4 linked regions of the Notamacropus eugenii genome follow. The protein of the gene in region 4 binds, or shares a complex with, the protein of the main gene of each other region. Links are inferred from orthologs where the notes say so. Each region holds a gene or a part of one and is shown on either strand. Other genes may lie near its edges. The genes, in order: AGK, TIMM10, TIMM10B and TIMM29.

Region 1 (7,833 bases), on a different chromosome or scaffold from region 4:
AGGCCACATTTTTACAAGCCCTTAACTGACTAAAAGCTGCAGAGAATTACCAAGACCCAATTATATTTATTGGCTACAAGAAACACCTGACTTGGAGAATCAAAATGCAACATTAAAGGCTTTCCTCCAATGGGGTATCTCTGATCCGTAGGATCACATAAGATTCCATAATAAATGCAATTAGAGATAGCAATCCAATGCCCCTGTAATAATCGCTATCCAATGAGGCACAAATCAGTGAGAATATGCTTGCCAAAGATATAGCGGAAGATGTCTTGTAAAGGGAGGACTCCCCAGATATGAAGATGTTCTCCAGGTCTATCATTTCAGAATGATAAAGTGCTGAACGTGGTAAGCCAAGGCCTCCTCAATATGACCCATGACTATTCAAAAAGTATCAGCATTATCCATCCATGAAGAAAAAACTAAAAGAAAAAAACATGCCTTTTGCCTAGATTATGGCATTTAGGTAGAAGGCAAGGCCATTAACTGAGGTAGCACATTGGTACATGTATTTAGGACATGTACTTCATACAGATAATGAATTGGAGCCCAAAAATGAAATCTAGAAAACTGTATAGTACTTCTAACAACATCAACCTGCTCCCTGGTACACTCATCTTTTTAATACCAATGTTCTTCTAGAGATCCCTTGACACTTAGCAGTCTTGCAATGCCACAGTTCTCAAAGATGTGGATGACCTGAGGTCTATAGAGAAGTATAGGTAGGCTAAACAGTATACATGCATGAACACAGACTAAAGGAAGAAGCTCTTTCCTTTTGTTACCATGGTCCAATATTACATAATAAGGAAGGCTTAGCAAGAGCAAATGTAATCTTTACCTTAACCACTCTCACACTTTGACTTCTTCACCAAAGAGTAGTAGTTTGGGAAAAGGAAGAACTAAAAAATGGCAAGTTAAGAAACAAGAATGGACAGGACTCAAAGATATGTATTTTATAGCTGAAGTCAAAAAGGAATTGCTGTTCTGTAACCTAGGGAAGTGCCCCGGGATTCAGCTCTCTCTCTACTGAGTCAGATCTAGCTGGGTCCTTCATTCTCTGGTCAGATTTCAAGAAAAGTTAGTTTAGGGATAGGTTCCAGGGCTAAGCCACCTAAACATCAAGGAAGGCATTTCTGCATTTTTCTCCCTATCAGAAAGGGGTATTAGGACATGCCCAGATTTTTCAGTCACCTGACCCAGAGGAATTACAACTTTGGGTAAGAAAAGAACTGGCAGGGTCAGTAATATATCTGAAAGATCATGGACAATAGGAGACAAATTATAAGCCTAAAAATGGGCAAACGATCCCAAGGTGGGGGAAGCGAACACAATCTATTGATTAATCTATTGATTAAGTGAGCTTAACTTCCATTCCTTGGAAAATTCTTCAATGAACCAAAGTGATGGCTGGTAAACATCTAGAAAGGGCAACAGGGGCTACAATTCTCAGCACGGCTTCATCTAGGGTGGACCATGCCACACTAACCTCACTTCCTTTTCTGACAAGTTACTGAACTAGTCAATGAGAATGCTACAGATAGAATTTGCCTGGATTTTGGAAAGGCTTTTGATAAAGCACCTTTTCTACTCTTATGGAGAGATATAAATTAGATAGTAAAACAATCGGCTCCAGATGACCACTTGCCGCCAGGACAGAATGAGGGTCTGCACCACTCAGGACCAGGTCCCTCGGGTTAAATCCAACACCCAGCCTGAATGGAGCGGCTGGAACAGCTCCCGACACACGGACAAGGACGGGAAGACGCCGTGAATTCTAGGAATCCTACAGGATCCAGTCCAGAGCGGGCAGCGAAAACGCCCAGGCGCCGCAGCGGCGCGGCGATGACCAGGTGCCTGAACCGCCGGCCTTACCCAGCAAGTACGGGAGCCGGACAGCTGGACAATTAATTCTACGCCAGAAGGGTTCCGTTTTTAACAGCTGGCCAATGAATGTGGGCTTGCACACCACTCCACACGTGCCAGAGACCTTTCATAGCTACCGTCTCCTTACATCCTCCCACACACCGGAGGCAAACAGAGGGGCCGGAGGGGAAGGAGAGCGGGCCGAGCGAGGGAGGCCAGGCCGCCCCCCACGAGGCTCCGCCCGCTCCCGACCCGGCCCGGCCCGGCGCCCGGCCCGTCCCACTCACCGCCTGCCCCGCCGCCCAGCAGCGCCTCTACAGGCCTCGCTCCGCGTTCCGCGCTCCACGCTCCGGGCCGCTCTTCCGGTGTGCAGACTTTAGCTCTTCCGCCCCGGCCCGAAAACCGCTGCCACCTGCGCTCGGGTTCCGCGGCGCTGCAGGCGCGCCCTGCCCCCGCGGCCCGAGGCGGGAATGCCCGGGAACGTCCGAGGGCTCCGCTCGGCCTCCTCCCTTCCCTCTCCCCCTCCCCCTCTCCCTTCTCCCGCCCCCTCCCCCAGCGCAGCCATCCACATGAATCTGAGCTCGGGGCAGGGCATCCAAGCAGCGTTCCCGCTTTCCCAAAAGCACAATGGACACAGGGTTCGTAGACCCCGGGGCTTTTCAGCTGGAAGAGCCTCTAGTCCCACCGCCCGTTTTACAGACGAGGAAACTGAGGCACAGAGAGGGGAGGTGACTGTCAAGGTCACGGAGCGGGTGGGCTTCCGGACCCAGTCCGGTCCTCCCGCTGCCCATCTTTCACACCGGGACTCACCGGTCAGGTTGTAAAGAGGAATCAACCAATCAGAATCCTTTGTTAAGTGTCTGCGGTGTCTCAAGAAGGTTACTTTGTATCAGGGAAAACAACACGTGCTAGCTATACGTATGTATTATATGTATCTACACATACACACACGTACGTATATGTATATATATATGCATGTATAGATATAGATAGATACATACCTGTGTATGTCACACACAAAATAAAATCAAGGTCATTTCAGAAGCTGGGGAGATCCGCAAAGGCCTCTGGGAAGAGATCCTGTTATAGCACAGTTTCAAAGGGAACTTGGGCTTCTGAGTGAGAGGCAAAGGTGAAGTCTGAAAAAAAACCAGCCAGATCTGAGATGGAGTGGCTTTTGTAAGGGTCAGCAGGAAGGCCAGTTTGACCAGAGAGTGCAGTGAATGAAAAATAACCTGTAGAGGGAGGATAAGACAGAAACCGCACTCATTTCATAAGATTCAGATGGACTCATCTCCCAGTCATCTTGTAGTCTAATATTTAAAAGAACCCAGTGACAATAATGCACTGTTGGTGTTGTGAAATGATTTAAGTATTCTAGTGAGCAACTTGGAACTGTCCTATAAAGCTGTGCATATCCTTTGACATAGCAATACCACTACTAGGTCTGTATCGCAAAGAAATTTTTAAAACAGGGAGGATCTATTTGTACAAAGGTATTTATAGCAGCTCTTTTTGTGTTGGCAAAGAATTGGAAATTGAAGGGATGCCCATCTATTGGGGAATGACTGAACAAATTGTAGCATGATTGTGGTGGAATACGATTGTGCTATAAAAAATGACAAGTACAATGATTTTAGAAAAACCAGGAAAGAGAGTAGAACTGATGCAGAATGAAGTGAGCAGAACCAGGATATTGTACACAGTAACGAAAATATTGTACGATGACTGATAAATACACAGCAGGGCTGTTATTGCAGGTTCACTCTTGATGTGATCAAACAGGAAGACAGCTTCAGAGGAGTTAATAATCTTATTTTATTTTAGTCTAGTCTTGTCAAAGGGGTTGCTGATAATGGGAGCACCAACTCCTTCCTACAGCATTCCCTAATCACCCTTCTGGCAGGGGCTGGCAACTACCCTCTACAACTTGATGGGGTCAATCAAGACAGACATATCTTGTGCACTACCCTAATCCCCTCAAGCTTCAATGGGGGCTTGTTGAGGCAAATACAGATTCTCCCCAAGCCTTGATGGGGGCTCATCAAGACTCGAACATCATTCCAGCTTGTACATTCAACCCTAAGGTTTCCCCACTCACTGACCAGTGCCTACCTGCTTTATAGGGCAACAAAGAAGGCACATTGCCAGCAACAGTCTCACAAGTTTACATTATTTCACCATTATATCTCACTGTACAGTTGTAGTGATATTTATAATTTTAAGCACAAATGTTTATAGTATTTATCATTATATAACACATTATATATTGCACAAGGGTAGTGGAAATGTTTACAAGTCATGAGCCTGGGAAATAAAGATTTTTATGGCTGTGGATCCTGGGAAACTAAACTCTAAGAAAGAATAACAAAAATCCACCTTACACACACTACAATCCACCTGAGTTACAATGGCTTAGCTATTCTCAGTGATACAATGATCCATTCTAAAGGACTCATGATGAAAAATGCCACCCCCCTCCAAAGAAAGAACTGATGGTGTCTGAATATAGATTAAAGCATACTATTTTTTCTCTTCCTTCCTTTCTTTCTGACTCTCCTTTCTTTGAGTGTTCTTCCACAAAATGACTAATATGGAAATGAGTTTTACATGACAACACATATTTAATTGCTCACTGTCTTAGGGGGAAGGGAGGGGTAGAATTTGGAACTCAAAACTTTTTAAAAATTGTTTTTTCATGTAATTGGGGAAACTATTATTTTAAAAAACAGTTCAGGAAAGAGGTGAAAAAAAAGTCCCCTATCATTATTGAAAGAGAAATCAATCAATAACCCTTTATTAAGCACCTACTCAGCACAGGCACTGTGCTAAGCACAGAAGATACCAAAAGAGGTCAGACAGTCCCTGCCCTCAAGGAGCTCAAGGAGCTCAGAGTCTAATGGAGGAGACAATAGGCAAACAAATATATGCAAAGTAAGCTACGTACAGAAAAAATAGGAAATAATTATAACAGGGATGATAATAGAAATGAGTTCCTCTATAACCAACCATACAAGAACATGATAATGGATGGTCTCATGCATTGTTGTAACAATACCTTGACTCGTCTGCCCCCGTCTAAAATGCTCCCTTTAACCCTGCTTTTTTGTCTTCTTAATTGTAAAAGTATATAGTCACTTCTCCTTGTCACCTACCCTTGAACAGAAAATAATCTCATTCTGATAACAAATTCTAACAACTGTATGACAAATATTTTCCCAGAACCTCATTTTTTCCTTTTGATTGATTCCCCTTTCCCGCACCCTTCCCTTTTCTGTGAAAGATATTATTTATTCTAAATTGCAGCAAAATGCTACTGGTTGGCTGTGTACTTTAACTGGGGCTGAAAAGTTATAAAAACTAACTGTATCCTAGGAAACTGAAGCTGCTATGGAGAACAGTCTTCTGTAGCATGAGAATACATTTCCTTGCTTTCAGTTTGGCTTCCTACCTTTGACCTATAGTCATTAGAACCCTAACCATGGGTACACGTCTCTCCCAAGAAGTCCCATTCCTCTTGGCGGAAGGAATTTCTTGATAGTAATCACCCTGGAAGTGTGGACTGGAGTCAGGTTTTTCCTATTATCTCAAAAAAAATCATTTATTAATTACCTACTTTGTGACAGGCACTGCAGGGCATTGTGGGTACAAATATAATGAATAAAACAATCCCCACTCACAAATTTGCATTCTAATGGGAGAGACGGCAAGAACATGCATAAGCATATACAGAACAAATATAAAGAGAATAGATAAATATTGAAGAGGGAAGACAGTAGCCCTTAAGAGTATCTGTAAAAGCCTTCATATAGAAGGTGATACTTGAACTGTGTCTTGAAGGAAGAGAGGAGTTCTGTGGTGAGAAAGGAGTGATTCTAGGCATGAGAGAAGACCACTGCAAAGACAGGGCATTGGGAGAAGGAAATTCATTGCTGAGGGACAGACAAAAGGCTACATTGGCCTTGGATCACAGAATATGTGGTGGGGGGCAATATGCAATACATTCAGAAGGTTGGAGCAAGGTGACAGAGTATTTTAAAAGCTGCACAGAAGAATTTATACATATACAATTATCCCTTCCACATCATGATTTTCCCCAATGCTGTTTCGATATATCAAGGGTCAGCATAAGAAATTAAATGATAATTTGGGGGGAGTTTTGTGGGAGCCCTAGATGACACTCGAAGGCCAGCAGTTGACACAGAAAAATACTTAACCCAAAATTTACAATGAAATACTGTAAACACCCCGTAAAAGAAAAAGAAATTATTCAAATGTCTTCTCTGGTATAAAAGGAAGACCAAAAAATTTTACATGGATTTTCCAGATCTTGGAGCACCTCACCTTCAACCCCTTTGATATGGAAAGGATAACTGTATCTGATTCTAGAGGCAATAGGAAACCACTGGAGTGTACTGAATAAGAAGAATCTCTCCTTAACCTGATCACTTTTGTCTTAAATTGATATTAGTTGTTAGTTGTAAATTAGATTGTACAAAGATCCACCTTCAGTTTCCTCATATGTAAAATAGTGATAATGATGGTATAGTACCTGTGTCAAAAGATTGCCATGAAGCTGAAATGATCTAATGTATTACAGCATTTCACAAATCTGAAAGTGTATGTAAATGTCAGTTTTTAGTATAACCCTCATTTATAAGATTTCTACATGTCGGTCTGAAACCCAGCTTTATAATTTTCGTATTTGTGGAGTTTCCTGATGTGCACCCATGTAACATCACCTGGTGAGATGCATGATCATAAAGAGGAAGGCAGGTCGGTACAGTAGAAAGACCACTAGTTCTGCAGTCTGAGGACAAAGGTTCAAATTCTACTTCTGACACTTTAGGGAATTTACTTTTTTTCCCCTCTGGTCTGTTTCCACATCTATAAAATGAGGAGTTTGGACAGCATGGCTTCTGAAGTCCCTTTCAACTCTATATCTGTGATCCTAAAAAAGGACTTTTGTGGCAGTGAGCAGTGTGAGATCATTAAAAGATCTGCAGTTTCCCAAATGTCATCTTCCTGCCTACCAAATTCTGGGCCTGCTTTGTTGTCTATATGCTGCATTTGTCCAACTTAAACATATTTTGTTGTTGTTCAGTAGTTTCAGTTGTGTCTGACTCTCTGTGACCCCATTTGAGGTTTTCTTGGCAGAGATACTGGAATAGTTTTCCACTTCCTTCTCCAGCTCATTTTGCAGATGAGGAAACTGAAGCAAACAGGGTTAAGTGACTTGTCCAGGGTCACACGTCTGAGGCCAGATTTGAATTCCAGTCTTCCTGACTCTGCTCTATTGACTTTGCCACCTAGCTGCCCCAGTTATACATATAATGCAGACCAAATGAGAGAAGGATTGGTCATGTATTAAGGATGAAAGGCAAATGAATGCTACACTCATCCTTATGACATTATAGATATTAAGATATTCTTAAAACAAAAGAATCCAAGGAAAGATCCAAGAGAGAGTTGGTACAGTAGACAGAGCATTGGACCTGGACTCAGGAAGACCTGAGTTCAAATCCTACCTCTTAACACTATCTAGCTGTGTGACATTGGGCAAGTCATTTAACATCAGTTTCCTCATCTATAAAATGGGGATAATAATAACACCTGCTTCCCAGGTAAGGATCAAATGTTGTTGTAAGGATCAAATGAAATAATACTTCTTAAATGCTTGGCATATAATGGGTGCTTAATTAATGCTAGCTGTTTTTTTAATCACCTAATATATAAATACTAGCTATTATATATATATGCATATATATGTAAGATGGACAACTAGGTGGCTTGGTTGTTGTCTTTCATTCTCAGAGGATCAAAATGACATTACTGTGTTAGAGTCAAGTTACAACGTGTCTGACTGTGACTGATCAGAGAATATGCTGTACCACAGGTCAGGCACAAATAGTCGATGTAAACATTTGGGGTGGATTCTCTAAATTTTCACATCTCTCATTTCTT
Region 2 (6,948 bases), on a different chromosome or scaffold from region 4:
ACAGTTTAAAGCCAACTAGGAATTGCTGCAACATGGAGAGTACAGTTCACTCGAGGTCTGAGGCACTGGATTCTAATCACAACCTTGGCCCTTCCTGGCATATAACAGCCTCTTCAGGCCATGCTTGTAAAAGGGCAATAACAGGACTCTAAAAAGGAAACTACTTTATAAATGGTCTAACACTATAAAAAAGAGGAGCTACTGTGTAATCATTACTATTATTAAATAGAACATAATTTCATCAATACAGGTACTACCCTAAAAATGCAGATCCTATTGACTTCTTGCCCTAAGAAGACAACTTTGTAAGTTATCACATCTAGAAAAATTCTGGCCAACCTTCTGTGTTGACCCTTTCATCAACCTAATTAGGCTGGCCTTCTGATAAGTTAATCAACAAGCAGACAGTGTGTCATAAGTCCATCTTTCCAAACTGGAGGGATCTACCAGAGCTTATAATCTCTTGCACAATCTGTGAGAAACTAAGCATCAAACTCCCACAGGAACCAGATTAAAATGTAACTGACACCACTGTCACACACCAGCAGAAGGGAACTTGGATATTTCATTGATGAATTCCCTCCACCAACTCTACTGCAATCCCTTCATGCCATAGGAGATAATCTTCAGTGAGGGCTGAAAAGGTTGCCATTCCATGGCCAACAAAGTAATGAGCTATTCTCATTTAGCAAGCCTGGTTTTGTCCTCCCCAGGCAGTCGATCACTCGGTTCCTACTACTACTTGGTGAGTGATTTCTTGGATACCTTGAATTCCTTCAATGTCTCTGGGCACCAAGATCCTTGGGTTCTCAAAGGCTACCAGTAGAGCAAAAGCTCTAATAGGTGCTATCAAGTCATATCACTAAACATTGATCAAGGACTTACTATATGCCAGGCACTGTGCTAAGTGCATAGTGAAAACAAAAGAATGCTCCTGGCTCTTGATGACCTCACAATCTAATGAGGGAGACAGTATGCAAACAATTAGATGGTGGGTAAATTGGAGATAATCTCACAGGGAAGCAGCTGGAGGGGTGAAGGGGACCATGACAGGTCTCCTACACAAAGTAGGATTCTGAGCTGAGTCTTGAAGGAAGCCAGGCAAACCAAAGGATGGAGATGGAGGTGGCTGGGGTTGGGGGAGGGAGCATTACAGACATGGGGAATAGCCAGTGGAGAAGGCATAGAAATGAGAGGGGATGGAAGTTGTGACCAAAGAACAGCAAGAAGACCAGTGTCACTGGACTGTGGGGTACAAATTCTGGTGGTAGTTATTGTTGTTACGTATCCTGGGGATTAGATGGAACAATCCATCTCATTTCTCCTCTCTAGGCCTCAGTTTTTCATCTACAAAACCAAGTGTCTGGACTAGATGCGTTGGGTCATGGTTCCTTGCATTCTAAGCTTCACCGACTTCAACCTGACGTTTTCTGTTTGATGGTTCAGTGGTGGCATTTTTGACTAAGGATTGCCCAGCAAACCTGAACAACTCTAACATAACAGAGGCATGAGGGGCCTGAGCTCCTTCTTTACATGAGTCTATCCTTGTGTGCCTCTAAAATTCAAAGAAAACAGACTTTCCCATTAAAGGGCTGTGTGACCTTAGACAAGCACAGTCATGGCCGACTTTCATGAAGCTCACTTTCCAGTTAAGTTCCTTAAGGGCAGGGCTGGGGGTTTTTACTGCTGTTTGTTTGCTATGCCCAGAGCCTGGCACGTAGCCAGCACTTCATAAATGATTACTGTGTGGGTTCAGTTTCTAAAGCATCTCACATCCACCATCTCACTGGAACCTCCTCACCACCCTGTGGGGTAGAGAGGTAGAGCAAGGTTTTATTTTGGCAATAGGGAATCCCTGCATGAGGGTCCCCCCAAACCCCACCAGTCCAGGGCAGCACTTTCTTTATAATTTATAATCTTAGAGAACTTTCTGGAGCTTAAGTGTGAAACGTAAGCCCTGAACCAGGTGAAAATGTGGCTGGGAAATGTTTTACAGAATAAATAAAAATGTGGTTTTCTAAGGCAATCCCTGTTTGAGTTGGACGCCAGAGGCCTACAGCACTAAAAGTTCGGGTCTCCAAGGCAGGACGTGTCAGGGGCAGGGCCAGATTTGGATCCACTATTGCGCTTTGGTATCAGGGACCCCCTGGGGGGGGGGGGTCAGTGGGGTGACACCTGCTCAGAATGTTTGTAAATGTGCTAGACTGCAAAAGTTATCAATCACACGGACAAATATTTTGGACAAACAGGTTCATATAACCCTGGCAAAGAATCCCTGTCTGGACAAGTGTGGACAGATGAGGAAACTGAGGCCCTAAGCCGAAATGATGAGCGCTCCGCCAGTAAGAGGTGGAGACACTTCCGCTCTCCGGGCCTCAGTTTCCTCATCTGTAAAAAGAGGAGGTCCCTCTCCAGCTGCAGGGGTTCCCCGTGCAGGGCAGGACCTCCAGGTCGGGGCGTCTTTGGGCACCGCACTAGGCCCCACGGGCCTCAGTTTCCCCAGCTGTACCCGACGGCCTCCAAGGCTCCTTCCAGCCTCCGGCTCACGACCCTAAGAACAAACTAAGAGATCAAACAACAGGGCGGGGTCTGTGGCATTACGGTCAGGAGTCGGTGACCGGGCGGAGGTTCATCAGGAGGGGCTGCTCAGTCAGTTGGTCAAAGAATGAAGGTCAAGGGTCAGGGGTCACGCTGGCAGTGCGTCAGGGGTCATGGATAGTATCACGGCACTGCTATCTCCTCCCGTTCCCCAAGCGAAGGGGAGGGAAGGCACACACAAGAGACCCAGACGTTCGGAGCACCCCCCCGCCCCATGCTCCCCCGGCCCAGGATCCACAGGCGCCCCTGGCAACAACACAGACTCACCTAGGGGAAGCGTGGGGCCGCGGTAGCCGAAGTCCTAGCCCACTTCCGGGGAAACAGGAAGTGCTGCCCCGGGCAGGGGGCGGGTAGGGCCGCCCGGGTCCGCTCTAGGACGCCGGGGGCCGCGACCATAGAGAGGGAAGGCGGGCGGAAGCAGGGAATGCGCGAGGCGGGAGAGTTGAGCTGGAGCGAGCGTCCTTTGTGACGTCACAGGGATGGGGGCGGAGCTCCTGACTGGGTGGGGAAGGGCACGGGCCCCGAATCTGGACGTGCTCGGAGGCTGGGATTGGGTGGAGGAGACTCCAACCTCTTCATACGGCTTCTCCACCATAATTACCCTAATACCTCCAACTGGATATCAGGCTAATCGCTGGGGACGCAAAGATTCCCATTTTACAGATGGAGAAACTTGCCTCCTGACCCCACATACAACACCCTTCTCTGCCCCCTCCCTCCATGGGCATCCACCGCCTCTCCCTGTTAGGGTCTCAGTGTTGTCCTGAAGTTACAGAAGAGGCCACCCCAGCCCCAACCCACCAGGCAAGCCCTTCCCCTGTGGACAAGCCCGCCAAAGCCCATCCTCCCTATATGTGCAATCCCAGGCAGTTTCTCCCCAGCACAGCCTGTCCTAGCAACAATCTTTATCTCCCCCCTTGCTACAGTAGCATGCTGTAGAATTTATTAGTACTATGTATCCTAACTTAGAGATACATATACTTCCTTATGTTTGTCTTGTCTAACAAGACATTCATGAGAGCCACCTGATATTCCTGAGTCAATCCTGACCTCTAGTTGGCTTAGTGAAGTTTCAGGTCTAAAACCACACCTCCAGGTAGCCCCCCCGCCCCCCACTTGGGCTATTGCCAGATGAATTGGGGGTAAAAATTTGTGCAGTAGATATCAAAAGTGCATGTTCCCTTAAGAACTAACCACTCCCTAATCCTACCCCCAAACACCTAGTTAGCATATTTGGCACATGCTTCACTATAGAATATCCTTTACCTGTACCCCTCTAAGGTTGCAAGTTCCCTAAGAATTCTTGCCCACTGAAAAACATAATAAATCTTTACCTTGACCTCAACAATGCTTGAATCCACGAATTCATTCCAGGTGACCTGCCCCTGGTACCCCTGTCTTTGTGGGGTTCTCACCCTGCCCTTCCAACCTTCATCAACTTCTCTCTGGATCTTGGTTTCCTCACCTGTAAAATGGGGGGGGGGAGGGTTAGACTGGATGTTCTCCAAGGCTCCTTCTACCTCTAAATATAAGATCCAGTCAAGTAGGAGTGGACTGGATTATTGACAGAAGCAGACCAGTTGGTGTCCAGTTACCTTGGAGCTTTGGAAAAGAAGAGAAAGAATGCCCCCAAGAGCATCTTATCCAACCTGCCTCATTTTACCTATCTCCTCCCCCATGCTATAAAAAAGATCCAATGAGGCCACACAGCAGAAGAGGAATTGGATTTAATCCGTTTGTTCCCAGAATGTAGAATTGGGAGCAAAAGACCCAAGGTGCAGAAGCAGATTTAGACTTAATGTAAATAAACATTTAGTATCGATTCCAGCTGACCAGAAGAGGAGTAGATTGCAACACTTGGCACATTTTTTTGTTTGTTCGGTCCCCGTCTGATTCTTCATGACTCATATGGGGTTTTCTTGGCAAAAATACTGGAATGATTTGCCATTTCTTTCTTCAGTGGATTAAGGCAAACAGAGGTTAAGTGACTTGCCCAGGGTCACACAACTAGTATTTGAAATCAAATTTGAATTCAGGTCTTTCTGACTTGGGTTTCAGGACTCTATCCATTGAGCCATTTAGCCTGGCACATAGTGGGCACTTAATAAATGCTTATTGACTGTCTGGCTGGTGATAGAAGTCTTCTCACAGGAGATTTTCAAGTGAAACAAAGGTTGGATCAACACTTGTTGAAGAGGTTGTGGAAAGGATTTTGGTTCCTGTTGGATTACAGGACCTTCAGCTCTGAGTTTCTTTAATTGTGTTACTTCTCCGTTAGGATTCAAACCCAAATCCTCTGACAAAAGCAGTTATTCTGCCCACTATATCACACTACCTCATCACCAGGCTATTTTACTGCCTCTGCATAGACTTTACAATATGGGGGAAACTGACTCACTAAACCAGCTGTGAGATATTGGACATTAAGAGCTGATAGTCATATCGCTGAACATGCAGTACTTACCTCCTTACAACTATCCAATAAAGAAGGCAGTTCAGGTATTAGTTTCTTCAAAGAGTAGTTGGAGGGATAGAATTAGAAACTTATATGTGTGCATGTGGCAAATGTATTTCCTGACACGATGTCCTTGAGCACAGGAACTGTCTCCTTTCCTCTTTTTCTTTGTCTTTCTAGGACCTAGCACAGTTCTTGGTACATAGTATGTCCTTTATAAACAATTATTTGTGGTGGATAAATGGAGGAAGGGAAAGAAAGAAAAAGGAAAGGAAAGGCAAGTAAGAAAAGGGGAAGGAAGGGAAGCTATTTTTTAGAGTTTTTTTAAACTTTTATTTAGTATTTTAATTTCCACAGTTACATGTAAAAACAATTTTAACATTCATTTTTAAAACTTTGAGTTCCAAATTCTCTCTCTTCCTCCCTCCCCACCCCATCTCACTGAGAAGGCAAGCAGCTTAATATAGGTGTAGTCATGCAAAACATTTCCATAATAATCATGTTGTAAAAGACTAACATTATTTCTTCACCCCTCCCCCATTTATTTTATTCTTTCTCTCCTTTCACCCTATTCCTCCTCAAAAGTATTTTGCTCCTGACTCTCTTCTCCCCCAGTCTACCCTCCCTTTTATCATCTCCCTCCCCCTTCTCTTATCCCCTTTCCCCTACTTTCCTGTAGGGTAAGATAGATTTCTATATTCAATTGAGTGTGTACATATTCCCTCTTTGAAAGAATTCTGATAAGCCTAAGGTTCACGCACTTCCCCTCACATCCCCCCCTCTTCCCCTCCACTGTAAAAGCTCCTTCTTGCCTCTTTTATTTGAGATAATTTACCCCATTTGAAACCTCTCTTTCTCTTTCTCCCAGTACACAGGGCAGTTATTTTTAAGCCTTCCTCCCCACCATGACTTCCTTTTTGACTCTCACCCACAAGGTTCCACCTGAATGCTTGTCCTAGCTTTGCCATCAATGTGTAGTGTGGTCATGGACAAATCATTTTATTTCTTTAAGTCTCAGTTTCATCATAGGTGAAATCAACAGGTTGGACCAGATGATCCCTTCAGGTCCCTTCAAACTTCAAGTTTCACAGTTCCAGTAGGCTGATAGGTGGTTTGGATGTCTTTTAAGACAGTTTGTGAATTCATAGTCAGGCTAGGCCTACTGACTGCCATCTGCCACCTCTATTCTGAAAGGTTCACAGAGGAGATATGTTTCCTCCACACTTGCTCCTTCCATCTCTCTCCTGTCTTTTTAAGGTAGAAACCTATTATCCCCAGCAGCTCTTGTTTCAGTGAGAGAATTCATAGAAGAGGAGGAGAAAAAGCAGGAGGAGAAGTAGGAGGAAGAGGAGGGGGGGGGAGACCTCAGAAATGATTTAGCCCAATCCCCTAATTTTACAGGGTAGGAAATCACCACTCAGAGAGTAGGAGACTTGCCAGACAGAGGCTGCAAAACTAATGTCCTCCAGTTGTGAGCCCAAGGCTCTTCCCGCCTCATCCTCCTCCAGTTTCCACCCCAGACGTTCCCCTAGGCAGTCACTTGCTCCTGTGCTTTGTCCAGATTCTGCCCACCCCATCTTCCCAACCTGGCTATGCCAAAATTTCTTCCATCTTCTTCCTTCATGGAAGGGAGCTTTATCATTGAATTTCACCAGGGGTCAGTATTGTTCTCTCCTAGATAGAGAAAACCCAGGCACAAGATGAGGAAAAAAGCCCGGACACATCCCAGATCAAAGAAACACTGTCAAGCTCCCTCCCCCAGCCCCCATGGACTCCCTGAATGTTAAAGAGCATAGGGAGAAATTGGAGAAGATCCAGAAAAAGCCACACTAAGGTGACGAAAAGTTTGAGGAATCAGACTCAAAAGGAACTTCTGTATTTAGCCAGAAAATGAG
Region 3 (7,093 bases), on a different chromosome or scaffold from region 4:
TAGAAGAGATTTCAGGGCTTCAAAGAACGTGTTGAGAAAGTGGGTGAGAAAGTGGAATACTGACAAAGTTTAGTACAGACTACTCTTCCTAGGACTTTGATAGTGAAGACAGAGAACAAAAGCTGAAGAGGGTAGCAGAGTCCAGGGTAAGTTTTTGGTTTTTTTAGGATAAGAAGATTGAGGGTCAAAGAAACAAGGGAGAAAATGTTTGTATGGGAAGAAAGACAGAGAAGAGGGATGAGAGTTGAATCAAGGTCTTAGAAGAGAAGTCAGGGAATACAATTTAAGATACAGATAGGGATTTGGCAAGGAAATTAGCCACTAAGAAACAAAAGATGCCTAAAGAAGTTTCTCTGACAGCCTGAGACTTCCTAAATCCTATAGCCAATACTTTGAGACAGCATCTTTCTCTTCATCTCAAACTCCTGTCCAGGAGAGGGACAAGAAAAGTCTCAACCAATCCATACCCTGCTTCCCCTAAAGCAAGCACACACAAGCATGGACACTTATAAGGACTTTACTACTGACAGGCAGGGTCAGATAAGGGGGAAAGGTACAATTAGGGATGTTTTGCCATCTCCGGGTTTCAGTGACAGGGATCAGAAGGGTTGCCATGAACTAATAATTCCTTTTCTTGTATTCCAATCCTTCTGAGGATCCAGGCAATCTTCTCTTTCTGTTCAGTCATCTCTGGTTCTAGCCCTTTGTACTATTTCCTTTGGAATTTGGAGGATATCCTGGTCTACTCTCCCTCTGCCTGGACACCACTTGTGGGAGATGATGGGCCCCTGGTGTGATGACATAAGGGTATTTGGTAAGCAACAACTGAGGTGGAACTGACACAGGATAGCCCCAGAAAGCCCCCTAAATTGCCCATGTCACACTATACGCTTTCCAGATATCAGAAAGTCCCATATTTGAGCATTCCATTCCAAGGTGGTAGGTGAACAGGAATCCCTTAGCTTCCTGGGCCTAGAGCCCCATGCTGGCCAGTCACGGGGCTTGATGGAGATCCAGTTGTCTCTGCCAGTGCTGCAGTGGCCTCATAGTCTGCCATGCGCTGCTGTACCAGGGCAGGCATCAGCTGTACATAGGCGGCCATTAGGCGGTGATTGGAGTAGACCAGCTTTCCTGCACAGCTGTCCAGGCAAGCCTCCTAGAAAGGAGGGAGAAGGGTGGTGTCAGTCTCCCTCCTCCCCAAGTTTACTTCCAGTTACAGTTTCTTTCCTCAGTCCAGAGGAGCACTTTCCACCTCCCTACAGAGAACATCTCTTACACACACCTCTTCTGCATCCAGGGCTCGATGGTGCAAGCTGGGCACACAGCGTTGGAAGCAGAGTTCCGTCATCCGGTTATACACCAACAAAAAGTCCCGAAGCTGGGGGCAAAGGGGAGAGGAGAAGAGGAGTGATGAGGTCCCGGGGAAGACACCTTCTACAGAAAAGGCTTATACAATTAGTACTAGAAGTGACCGTAAATATTCTGTCCTTAACTCCCAGCCTTTTATAGATAAGGAAAACAGGATGGGGTGGGGGGGAGAGAAGAGTGACCTGCCTGAGGTTAAAGCGTGAATCAATCAGAGAACCAAAACAAGAGCCACCAAACCCAGAGCTCTTTTCAAAGCACAGATCAGGATTAGTCGGAGGAAGGGGCCAGAGGCTGCACACGCAGACAAGCAGACACACGAGCGTGGGAACAGCGGGAATCGGGGGGTGGGGCTGGGAGACGCCCCCGAAGGCACTCCCTTCCCCAGCCAGCCTCAGACGTGAAAGGGAGTCCCGAGCACTCAGGGTCCCTGCCCTTGAAGCATTCTCCCGAGGCATTCCCTTGCCCGTCCCGGGCCATACAGGCCTCTCCATCTCAACGTCAGACCGCGCCTCCAGCCCCCGATCCTGGCACTAAGGATGCACCAAAGAGCGCATGCTCCACAATCGGCCGCACAGCCTGCCCTCTCTTAACACACCGGGTTTCCCTCTCCCTTTGTCCCAGACCAGGCTCCGGCGGCCCATGGGGTAGGAGCGAGGGACCCGCCGAGCCGAAGAGAACCTTCACAGCCCGACTCACGTTTCTCAGCTGCTGCTGCTGCTGCTGCTGGTGCTGCTGCTGTGACTCCATGGCCCCACAGGGCGCAGGCCCCTTACGTCACTTCCGCAACCGCGCACACCTTGCCCCCGCCTACGGCGCTAGGCGGCGTGGCCCGGCTCGTGGTGTCACTTCCGCCCTGGCGGTGGGCAACGCGGCTGCCTTCATTTGCCCGGCAGAGAACGTCATTTCCGCCGTGTCCCTGACCTGCTGCGAGGAGCGCGAAGGGAACCGGAGCCCGAGGTCCCAGGACGGCCCCGGGCCCGGCGCCCCGAGGGCAGGGCAGGGACAGGCGAGGCTGCCGGGAGAGAGGAAAGGAAGTCAAGGGAGCGTGGCCCAGCCAGAGGTGAGGAAGCTGGGCGACACCTACCTGAGCCCTGGGGGGGGAGGAGGAAGACCCACACCTGAGTCAATGGGGGGGAAGGAGCGCTTAGCTGCGTCCACCTGAGCTCGGTGAAGAGGGTCACCCACCCGAGCCCTAGGGACAGGGGGAAGGAGAAGGGACCCGGCTGAGCTGAGGGCTTAAGAGGGGAGGAGGGGCACCCAGCCAAAGCCAGGGTTTAAGGGGGGAGGAGGGGCACCCACCTGAGCCCAGGAAGGAGGAGGGGCGCCCACCTGAGACAAGTGGGGGGAAGAGGGGCATCCAACTCGGCCAAGGGGAGAGGACGAACACCTACCCACGTCCAGGGCAGAATTCTCCTGAAGGATGAATGCACCTGGGTCCGTGGGAAGTACAATATGTTTACTGAGGATAGATGCCCTTATTCGAACTTTTGCCTCCCCCAGCCATGACTGACGGGATCCTGGGGAAAGCGGCCACCATGGAGATCCCCATCCACGGCAATGGCGAGGCTGGACGGCTTCCTGAAGATGATGGGCTGGAGCAGGTGGGGGTCTGTTTGCTCCGAGCTCCCCAGTGTACTCATATCCCTGGTGCCAGTAACTTGTCCTGACCTCCTTACTTAAGAACTCTTAATCTTCTGTCCATTCTCTGACTTACTCTGTTCCATTAATACCCTTACTACTCTTAAATTCCCTGGTGCCCCATACCATGCCTTGACCTCGCTAAGCCTCACGTTCATGATCATGCCATCTCTGGGTGCCCCATCTATTCTAATACTCCTTTAAATACCCAAACTCCCATCCTATCTTCTAATCTCTCTTGTACTTGCACCTCTAACTATACCTTAGCCTTACCAAATCTTGGACCTCCCAATCCCCCTACTTTCTGTCACCCTACTCCAAACTAGGTTACCTTCCTACACCTTGAATTCTCTGAACTTCTCCTGTGAGTCCTCCATTCCTCATCTCTGTGTCTCTACCTAATTGTCCCTCTTCACTCCCACTTGACCCCTCATAGGACCTGCAGCAGGTGATGGTATCTGGACCAAATCTCAATGAGACGAGCATTGTGTCAGGAGGCTATGGGGGCTCGGCTGATGGTCTTATCCCCACAGGTATGAGGTAGAGGACTTGGGGAATTATTGGGGTTGAAAACCTGAGAAATTGTTGGTTAAAGGAAGAAAAGAGGGGATAGAGACAGAAATGGTTATCATGCAGATCACAGAATTTTATCCTTTAGGGCCTGGCCGTCAGCAGCCCCACAGTGCAACCCCTGCTGGCCCTGGTGACGAAGTGGCCCGGGGCATTGCTGGGGAGAAGTTTGACATTGTCAAGAAGTGGGGCATCAACACCTACAAGGTGGGGCTTGTGTCCCCTCAGCCCCCTGTCCCGTGGGTTCCCCCAGATCCTATCTCCTGTTAATGCCCTACCTCTTCCCCGGTCCCTGGATCCCATCCCATCCCTTCCTTCACCCCTGCCCTTGCTCCTCCAGGGGCTCATAGTCACAAACTTGGGAGGGGGGCAGGTATTTCCATATTCTGGGGGGCTCTTGTCTCCGGGAGGGCCCTCTGACTGCCTGGGGCCTGCTCAGTGTACAAAGCAGCTGCTGTCCGAACGGTTTGGCCGAGGATCACGCACCGTGGACCTAGAGTTGGAGCTGCAGATTGAGCTGCTACGGGACACAAAGCGCAAGTATGAGAGTATTCTTCAGCTGGGCCGGGCACTCACTGCTCACCTCTATAGCCTGCTGCAGACTCAGCATGCCCTGGGTGATGCCTTCGCTGACCTCAGCCAGAAGTCCCCCGAGCTCCAGGTGTGTGCACCTACCTCCCTTCCACTTTGAGGGCAACAGGGGACCAGGGGCAAGGCATGACCTCTGGGCCCCTATGTTCATTCAACCCACAGGAGGAATTTGGTTATAATGCAGAGACACAGAAGTTGCTGTGTAAGAATGGGGAGACTCTGTTGGGGGCTGTCAATTTCTTTGTGTCCAGCATCAACACCCTGGTCACCAAAACCATGGAGGACACTCTTATGACTGTCAAGCAATATGAGGCTGCCAGGTAGGAATGTACAAGCCATAAAATTGGAGTGGGGAGTGAGTACGGGGCTCAAGGTCAGGACGCCTTAGGCCTTACTCCCCAAGTTTTATTCATACATGACTCTTTCTGTTCCCCTAGACTGGAATATGATGCATACCGCACAGACTTAGAGGAACTGAGCTTGGGTCCACGGGATGCCGGGACTCTGGGCCGACTTGAAAGTGCCCAGGCCACATTCCAGACACATCGTGAGAAGTATGAGAAACTTCGTGGGGACGTGGCTATCAAGCTCAAATTTCTGGAGGAGAACAAGGTGCTAAACTGTCCCCCTCACCCCTACCCCCTAACTCCTCTCAATGTTTTTCTCTTCCCACCTCCTCCCAACTGACCCCCATCCATGCCCCCAGATCAAGGTGATGCACAAACAGCTGCTGCTTTTCCACAATGCCGTGTCCGCTTACTTCGCTGGGAACCAGCAGCAACTTGAGCAGACCCTGCAGCAGTTCAACATCAAGCTTCGGCCCCCAGGCTCTGAGAAACCCTCTTGGCTGGAGGAGCAGTGAGATGGCCTGGCCTGGCCCTCCACTCCCAAGAAGCACTCCTGGCTACAGGAGCAGTGAGGCCTGCCCCCTTGGATTGGCCCCTGTCCCCAAGAAGCCCTCCTAGGTGGAGGATCAGTGGACCTCCTCCCTAGGAGGGGCTGAGGGGAGCAGGAATAAGTGCCCTCCTCTCCAACAAGCCTACTAGGGGAGCAGAGAGAAGCCTTTTTTGGTAGGGAAGAGATTGGGACAGGGAAAGCAAGAATGTACACTTCCCCTTTCCCTTCATCCTTCTTTGCCCAGGATCTCCCTTCCAGGACCTTAGCTTCTTGTGGGTGGTAAAGGGAGGCACACCCCAGGAGAGAGGACCAGGTTGGGCAACTACTGGACCAGGTGCAACAGCACTTAGTTCTGATGCCTAAGGCCCTGCTCCTCTGTCAGCTAGTTTGGCCTCACTTTCCAGATCTTTTCCCACTACCCCTCAGCCAGTGGTTGTTTTCCCCAAGGGCCCTCTTCCCAACCAATGGCATTAATTCCCAGGGTTCTCCCTTAAGCCAATGGCATCACTCCTGGGTCTTTCCCTTGGCCGATAGCAGGTCTCCTGGGGCCCTACCCTGAGCTAGCATCACTCGGGGATCCTTTAGCCAATGGCATTGCCCTCAGTGCCCTCCCCCTCCACTCCCTCCATTACTGTTGGTGGGGGAGGAAGAGGGGAGGGTCTTAGGACCAAAGGGTAGCAGACTGGGGAGGTATGGGGCAAGGACTAGGGGTGCCGTGCTGTCTGTCCCAGCATCTGCCTGTCTCTTTCTATGCCCTGGAGCCAGGGTGGTGTTTCTCTTAATTTAATTGTGGGTGGGACTCTGGGGTGCCTGTCCAGTCTGTAGAAACTGTCACACCAGCCCTAGGGTGGCCTGGGAGCCTGGGACCAGAAATAAACCTTTCATAAAACCTGGCCCGGGCCTGTTTGTTGGGGGGTAAAGGGTCTGGGAGGATGATGCATAGAGCACAGGCCCTCTAGACTTGGGCCTGAGCCCCTTGCACTTACACTCTAGAGGACTCGGTCCTTACACTAATGCAGTTCCTAGGCATTGTGGCCCCAGACTTCCTTTGGTTATACTCAGATCCAGGGATACCCAGTCCTTTCACATTCTAACTGCCACTGACACTACTTGTTTCTCCTTGGAATTTGTTATCTTCAGCCCACCCATGCTTCTGGCTTCTCTGCATTCTCTGTTGCCTCTGACACCAGCGCAAGAAAAGGCCCTTTGAGGCTTCCAAAGGGAAACTTGTTAGTGACTCCAGGGAAACGGACAGATGGGAAAAGTTTACATTGCAAACTTCCTGCTTCCTGGTGCTTTCCTTGTGGTGTTTCTGTCACTCCTCCATCTAAATCTTATATTAACTCTCTAAATGACACCTGCTGCTTTTCCCCTTCTGTTCAGAATTGGGAGGGGGAAAGATAGAAGGAACTGGTCCACTAGGTGTCACAGACAAGTAGTCACATAGAGCGGGGGTATACAGTCAATGTCACTGGCATCATACCAGGCAGCTTGTTTTCTCCAGTCACCCTGGTTTCTTACCAGACTTTGGCAAGTCATTCTCTCTCCCAATTTAAAGCAAACAACAATGTTTATTTTTTAATATTCCCTTCCCCATGAGTCAGTAAAATGCCTTGAGCAGTTCCTGGATTGTACTGCAGTTGATATATCTGTAAAATACCTTGTATGAGCATTTTGAACTGCAATTTCTACACCAACTTTTACAATTAAGAATTTAAATTCTTTAAGGTAATAAACATAATTAGAATGGTATTTCCTATTGAATTATATTTTAAACACATCCTAAACACAAGAGTCCTAGGTATCTAATCTAGTTTGTTGGCCTAAAGATTAGTTATGAAAGGTCATTGTGCTGCATTGGGGTTTAGAGCAAACAACCAACCAAACTCAGAAGTAGTATAGCTGGGATTTCCTCTCCTCCCTGCCACCCCCACTTCCATTAACAGTGGTCAGATTTATTACAGAGGGAGAGTTCTGTTCACCAGTTTGTGTTGTCACCTGGACCACACCACTTCAGGTAATACATGCT
Region 4 (5,896 bases):
GACAGGATCAGCGTGTGACATGCTGCTTTTTTTAATTTTATTTTTTTACAAAAATAACCAGTGTCAATCCACAGACTCCAGAGGCCAGGCTGGCCTGGCACAAGCATTAGCCAGCTGCCCCTACTGATAGACTCAGAAGATCACGGGGAAAAGGGTGTGGTGGGGAGGGAAATAGGGCAGGGAGGAGGAAGAAAGTCCCTGCTTTTGGCATGGCTGTCTAGTTGAGCGTGCCCCATATGACAGAGGCCTCTATACTCAGTTGGGAAAGCTGTGGCCCAGGGCCCGGGTAGCCTTGCTTCTCTGGGGAAGTCTGTGACCCCAGCACCAAAGGGTTCACCTCACACTTGAATGTACACACCAGCCCATGGCTGTCAGAAACAGCCTCTTCTCCCCTCCCAGCTCTGAGTGAACCATCACCTCTTCCTGCTCTCCTGTCACCTGTGACCCCAGAAGACCTTAGACAATTGTTCTTTCCTTCCTTTCTCCCTAAGAACAGGAGGGGACTGAGGCTTTGGCCAGTGCTACCCATTTGGGGGTGGGGGTGGGGGTGGATTAGTCAGTACTGGCAGAACAGAACCTAGGTTTGTTAATGGACGACCCTGTTTTTCTTTGTAGTTCGCATTAGGCCTGTGTATTCCCTGTATCTTAGTGTAGCCTCCAACCCTCATAGTGTGTCATTTTTGTCCCTTCCATGGGTGCCTGGTAAGGGACCTTGCAGGGATTCCTTCTTAGGAAATAAAACCAGAAATGAGTGTTGTATCACAGGCAGTTTTCTTCAACTCCAGCCTGTCCAGGCTTTTAGTCCCCACTAATAGGACAGAATGGGGCCCCCCTGAAGCAGGAGGGCCTGCAAACTCACGGACTCCCTCCCTTCTGCCCCATTTCAGTATGTAAGAGAATAAATCAATTTTACCCTGGTAGCTTTTCTGTTCACTGGTTTCTCACAATGGAAGTGCCCAGTATGCCCATAATTCCAGTAGGCCCTAACAAGGACTAGAAACCTTGTACGCAGATGAGAAGTTCCATGTTTATATAGTCTCTTTAAATCACATTTGCATAAAAAAATAAACTTTTTGATTTGTAAGAACTGTCTTCAAAGCAGCAGAATGAACAGTGACTCAGCAGGTGATGGCTCCTTCCATCACTGGAGATCACCTGATGACCAGTTGGCAGGTGGCAGGTGAACCCTGCTCTGGTTGTTTCTCCCCCAGGATGACTAACGGTACTTGATCTTGTCAGCTTTCCCCAGCTGCTAAAAAAAAAAAAAAGTAGAAACTAAGTGGAGGGATCCCAAATTATGTTTCTGCAGACCTGCTTGCTCTGTGAGCAAAGATCCTATTAAAAGGGGTGTGAAGCTAGTCTCTCAAGGAGTCACCTGTGAAACTTCTGTCCCTCCCCTGGGGGGGGTTTGCTTTGTGACCACATCTCTCCTTAGATGATGATTATTCTGCTTACCTCTTCTCCTAGGAGGCTGCAGAAGTCTTGGAGGAGCCAGGTGGTGTGACCTGGTGGAGTGGGGCTTGGGTCACAGGAACGGACCTTGAAGGCAGGAACTGGAAAAAATATAACTAAAGCAAGAAGTCTTGAGTCAGTGCTGAGGCTACAGGCCATTCCAGCCTGCCAGTTCCTCTATACCCTAGACAGCTGGTGCTACCTTGCAGCCGATGGCCAGGAGGCCGTGGAGGGCAACCATGACTGTAAGCAGCACAGCTGATACCACCTTGGTGTCTGAACGGACGAGAGGCCAGAAGGTGAGCAGGAGCATAGCCCCTGAAAGTGACACAGCCGTGACCCCAAGAAACCACTGAAGCCCCGAGATAGGGATCAGCCATAAGACCTGAGAGGGAGAGAGAGAGGCTATAGACTTCTGTCAGTATCTAATACCCCCAGCCCAGCCCCCAAGCCACCCTCACCACAGTCGGGATGTAGATGAAGAGGGAATATCCGTAGACACACACAATCTCCAGAAAGGTGTAGCAGCTCATGTGTTCCCTGACCCCCTTGCGCCACTGCAGAAAGCCCCATAGTGCCGTTGGTACCAGCCATGCGTAGCAGTAAATGGTGATCCCTGCAACAGTAACTGGGAGAGAAAACCCAAACCGTACCTGCTAAAGGCCAAGTAGCCCTCTAGTGCCCTGCAAGGGCCCCAGAACAGGCCCCAGAACAGGCCCCAGAACAGGCAGGTCTGCTGCATCCTTGAGCAGGCTTGCTCACCTTTATGAAACTGTGGGCTATAAGAAAAGGAAGAGTCTCTCCAGTTCTGCAGCAGGGTGGCCAGGTTGCTGCTCACAGCTAGTGTAAAGGCCAGTGTGGCACATATCCAGAAAGGCCCTAGGGAAGGAGTGGAAATAAAGTGCAGAATGTACATTAGATCCCTGAGAACTGCACCTCCCCAGCCCAGACAGAAATAGATCTGTACCCTGCCTCTAATTTCAAATCCTTTAGTTAGTGGAATTAAAACAGCTTTACCATATAGGTCTGGATGATGTCGAAGACGGTGTCTCACAAAGTTCTGGCTAGGAATTGGCAGCACTGAACTTCTGATCCTCTCCAGCACCTAGGATGGAAAAAAAGCACCCACCCACCCACCCACCAAAATCAGAACACTTAAGTGCCTATTAACATGTAGGGAGGTCATTGCTAGTACAAGGATGAATAGAAGTCCCTGCCTTTGAGGAATTTCATCAGAGGGGATCTATGTATACAAATAAGCACAGTATGAAGCCATAGCCTATCATGATAAGGACAAAAGGTGCATCCAGAAAGAGAATGTGTGCGTGTGGGGGGGATGTTGGGAAGGATCATTTTCAGCTATGTGGATCAGGAAAAGGAGCAGGGAAAAGAAGGTGGCACCTTCAGTACAAGCCTGTTGGGGGTAAGTGCACAAATACCAGCGGGCTTGATCAAAACAAATAAGCCTTTATGTTCTCCAGAAGCCAGTAAGGAGGGGCCTTCACTTTCCCACCTTAAGTGTGAACTAGCCTCAGGCCTTCACCTGATGGGTATCCACATCAAAGAAAGACTGGTGGTAGCTGAAGGTCCAGAAGTTTGGAGGTTGTTTCTCACCCCCAAGCAACTATAAGAGAAATGGTCAAAGGTGTGTCCTCTGAAGGCTCCCAGCTGGGTAACATAGAATTTCCAGGAAGGCCTAAACTCACCTGAGTCTGATCATTCTCTTCCAATTCTCCATCTTCTTGGTCCTCCATGTCCACAGCCAGGCTCACATGGCTCTGCAGTTCCCCAAGACTGGAGACGGTAGTAGCCCCTGGTGTCTCAGCCAGCAAGTCAGCAGCCATCTCAAATTCTGTAGATGTGACCAGTCCCATCCAGGCGACCCCTCCCCCCAAACTAAGAGCTGGCCATTGGTAGACCACCCTTCAGGTGCCCAAATTCTAGACCTCCATTCACCATGCCAGCCAGCCATTAATCTGTCCTTCCAGTTCAGATATGGAGTTGGGGATGAAGAGGAAGCCTGCCTGACAGTGCTGGGCGGGGGTAGGATGGGGAAGGTCCATGCAGGACAAGAGCATCAGCTAGGTAGCAAAGTGGACAAATCGCTAAGACCGGAGTCAGGAAGACCTGATTTCATATTTTGCCCCTAACACTTACTAGCTGTCACCCTGGGCAAGTCACTTAACCTGTTTGCCTCAGCACCTACCTTCCAAGGTTCAGAGAACCAAATGAAATATTTTTAATTAAAATACTTGGTACGGTGCCTGGACGTAGAAGGTGCTATAGAAATGTTAACTACTATCACTAGGAATAACCTCAGGTCTGGGTTCCAAGACGGGGCTGGGGAAGGGAAGGTCAAGGACAAAAGGTCCCTTGCGGGGGCAGGAAAGACGGGGATCTCTGAGGGAAGAGAATAGGGGTCTGGAATGCCTGGGGAGGGTCAGGGAGAGAAGACGGGTCCGGCGTTTGGATGGTCGGGGGAGGAGGGGTTGGGAGCTGTTCACTCACCGTGGAAGGTGAGCTCTTGGGGCGCAGCCATGGCCGGCGCTCTCACCACATCTCCAGCCTTGCGCCCCTGCGGAGACAGGTCGGGGGGTCAGGCAGCAAAGCCCCTCCCCCGGATCTAAAGCCTCGGGAGCCCGGCTTACTCAACCCACCCCTCCAGCTGTCGGCCAGCTGCGTGGAACGCCTCCTCTACGCCTGCGCCAGCTGGATCCGGGTCGAGCCCACTTAGTCCGAGGCAGGGGAGACAAGGCTTACCGCTTGCCCTGCCTGTCCTCCTCCGCGTGGTGGCGCTGCTTGTGGACGTCCAGATGGTACAGCCGGGTGCCGGGATGCTAACACTCTTGTCACCTTCCCCCGCCGCCCCCTTCTACACGTGAGCGCTTCCCTTATTCCCCTCCGGTGGGGAATCGTTTCCGGTAGCGCCTTGGCTCGAACCCGGTGACGCTGCAGTGTCGCGGCGAGGGGAATGTTTCCTTCCGGACCGTGGGGAAGTACGGAGCAGGAAGACGATGGTGGCCGCCGTACTGTGGAGGAGAGTGTACTCTAGCGGCGCCGCCGCCGGAGCGGGAGCGGGCCCCGGCGGGGGCGTAGCCAAGCGGCGCGTGTGGGAGCGGCTGGGTGAGTAGGGCCGGGACCGGGGGGAGGCCGGGGCCGGGGGGCCGACGTCCCGGGCGCTCACGCCGCCTCTCGCCCGCAGGCTCGTGGGTTCGCGGGCTCCTGCACGACTACGCCGAGGCGTGCGCGGACGCGGCGGCGGCGGCGCGGGAGCGGCCCGTGCGGGCGGCGCTGTACGCGGGGCTGCTGGGCGGGGCGGCCGCCTGCGCCCTTCGCACCCCGGAGGAGGCGTCCTTCGAGGAGGCGCTGCTGGACGCGTCCGGGACCCTGCTGCTTCTGGCGCCCGCCACCCGCAACCCCGGCTCGGAGGCGCACGTGCAGCGGCTGCTGTGGCTGCGGGGCCGGGGCCGGCTGCGCCACGTCCACCTGGGCCTGTGCTCGCTGCTCTACGAGGCGCCCTACGACCCCGAGGCCAGCCTGTACCAGGCGCGCTGCCCGCACCTGCAGCCCCGCTGGGCCGACTTCCCGGGCCGCGTGCTGGACGTGGGCTTCCTGGGCCGCTGGTGGGTGCTGAGCGCCAAGATGCGCGACTGCGACGTCAACGACGACGAGTTCCGCCACCTGCCGCCGCACCTGCGCACGCTGTCCGAGGACCAGCTGCGCTCCGAGGTCAACGAGTGGCTCTTCAGCCAGAAGTACCTGCCGGCCGTGCTCACGGAGGACCAGGTGGACCAGGCCCTGTGGGAGGAGCAGGTCCTGCAGAAGGAGAAGAAGGAGCGGCTGCTGCTGAGCGAGGCCGGCCCCGAGGGCGTGCCGCGCGCGGGGCTGAGCGCCGAGTGGCCGAGGGAGGGAGCTTCGGTGAAATAAACTGGTTTTTCCTCTCTTCTCTCTTTCCCATCTTTTTTTCCCTTAAACGAGTTGGTACAGTTTGGTGCACCAGGTAAGTGGAGTTGCTTTGGTTGTCCTTAGGGACAATCCAGGTTCTCTGGCCCCTTTCTTACCAGTCAGTTTGGAGGAAACCAGCTGCCGCAGGAAGATGGTCAGACGCAGAGCTCTGTATCTTCCTCCTCCCCGCCACTGCCTCCGACCCTCTTCAGGGTCTTCATTGTCATCAAGGCTACCAGCACCCTCCCAGTCGCTCAGACTTGTCCTCCCCTCCCCCCCCAAGCCAGTCATTTGCTCAGACCTCTTGCCTTCTTAACCTTTATATGTCTCCTCTTCCCTGAGGCCACTGCCACCAGGTAGAACAGATTATCACCTCAGGACCTGACTGCTGCCCCAAGTGTATCCCGACTTCAGTCAGTTCTCTACTCAGCTGTCACTTGGATCTGTAAGTACAGATCTGACACTGTGTCTCTCACTTACTCTCACACACGCTCCTCCC

What was found.
Region 1: the proteins of TIMM29 (region 4) and AGK are in contact, whole or in part, in a cryo-EM structure (PDB 7CGP), measured with the Homo sapiens proteins. The link is inferred for Notamacropus eugenii from reciprocal best matches to the Homo sapiens genes TIMM29 and AGK. Residues at the interface, in NP_612367.1 of Homo sapiens: Tyr145, Gln146, Cys149, Arg150, Tyr151, Leu152, Gln153, Arg155; in NP_060708.1 of Homo sapiens: His33, Asn36, Arg39, Arg40, Cys43, Gln44, Gln47, Asn51, Lys82, Pro86, His89, Leu90.
Region 2: the proteins of TIMM29 (region 4) and TIMM10 are in contact, whole or in part, in a cryo-EM structure (PDB 7CGP), measured with the Homo sapiens proteins. The link is inferred for Notamacropus eugenii from reciprocal best matches to the Homo sapiens genes TIMM29 and TIMM10. Residues at the interface, in NP_612367.1 of Homo sapiens: Asp181, Asp183, Ile184, Asp186, Phe189, Leu192, Leu196, Arg197, Val199, Gln203, Leu204, Ser206, Asn209, Glu210, Leu212, Phe213, Asp214; in NP_036588.1 of Homo sapiens: His30, Arg31, Lys32, Cys33, Pro35, Pro36, Leu43, Ser44, Lys45, Gly46, Glu47, Ser48, Val49, Arg53.
Region 3: TIMM29 (region 4) and TIMM10B share a complex: the UniProt entries of both Homo sapiens proteins name them as parts of the TIM22 complex. The link is inferred for Notamacropus eugenii from reciprocal best matches to the Homo sapiens genes TIMM29 and TIMM10B.

Annotation. Positions count from the first base shown.
Region 1 is NC_092874.1:107,529,283-107,537,115, forward strand, and holds the start of AGK (acylglycerol kinase, mitochondrial), read right to left. Parts: upstream 3,020-7,833; 5' UTR 2,871-3,019; intron 2,302-2,870; exon of another isoform or gene 1,586-2,301; intron 1-1,585. UniProt on the Homo sapiens protein: Lipid kinase that can phosphorylate both monoacylglycerol and diacylglycerol to form lysophosphatidic acid (LPA) and phosphatidic acid (PA), respectively. Does not phosphorylate sphingosine. Phosphorylates ceramide.
Region 2 is NC_092873.1:3,159,440-3,166,387, forward strand, and holds the start of TIMM10 (mitochondrial import inner membrane translocase subunit Tim10), read right to left. Parts: upstream 3,023-6,948; 5' UTR 2,866-3,022; intron 2,700-2,865; exon of another isoform or gene 2,602-2,699; intron 2,529-2,601; exon of another isoform or gene 2,510-2,528; intron 846-2,509; exon of another isoform or gene 766-845; intron 1-765.
Region 3 is NC_092876.1:89,005,143-89,012,235, forward strand, and holds TIMM10B (mitochondrial import inner membrane translocase subunit Tim10 B), read right to left. Parts: upstream 2,224-7,093; 5' UTR 2,116-2,223; coding exon 2,065-2,115; intron 1,379-2,064; coding exon 1,283-1,378; intron 1,157-1,282; coding exon 959-1,156; 3' UTR 502-958; downstream 1-501. Other genes in the region: ARFIP2 (arfaptin-2), read left to right, coding at 2,871-2,969, 3,443-3,539, 3,665-3,783, 4,016-4,237, 4,330-4,487, 4,605-4,779, 4,874-5,029. UniProt on the Homo sapiens protein: Component of the TIM22 complex, a complex that mediates the import and insertion of multi-pass transmembrane proteins into the mitochondrial inner membrane.
Region 4 is NC_092875.1:79,089,521-79,095,416, reverse strand, and holds TIMM29 (mitochondrial import inner membrane translocase subunit Tim29), read left to right. Parts: upstream 1-4,450; 5' UTR 4,451-4,466; coding exon 4,467-4,575; intron 4,576-4,654; coding exon 4,655-5,379; 3' UTR 5,380-5,395; downstream 5,396-5,896. Other genes in the region: protein YIPF2, read right to left, coding at 1,464-1,568, 1,655-1,837, 1,914-2,080, 2,215-2,331, 2,470-2,557, 2,996-3,076, 3,159-3,304, 3,961-3,991. UniProt on the Homo sapiens protein: Component of the TIM22 complex, a complex that mediates the import and insertion of multi-pass transmembrane proteins into the mitochondrial inner membrane.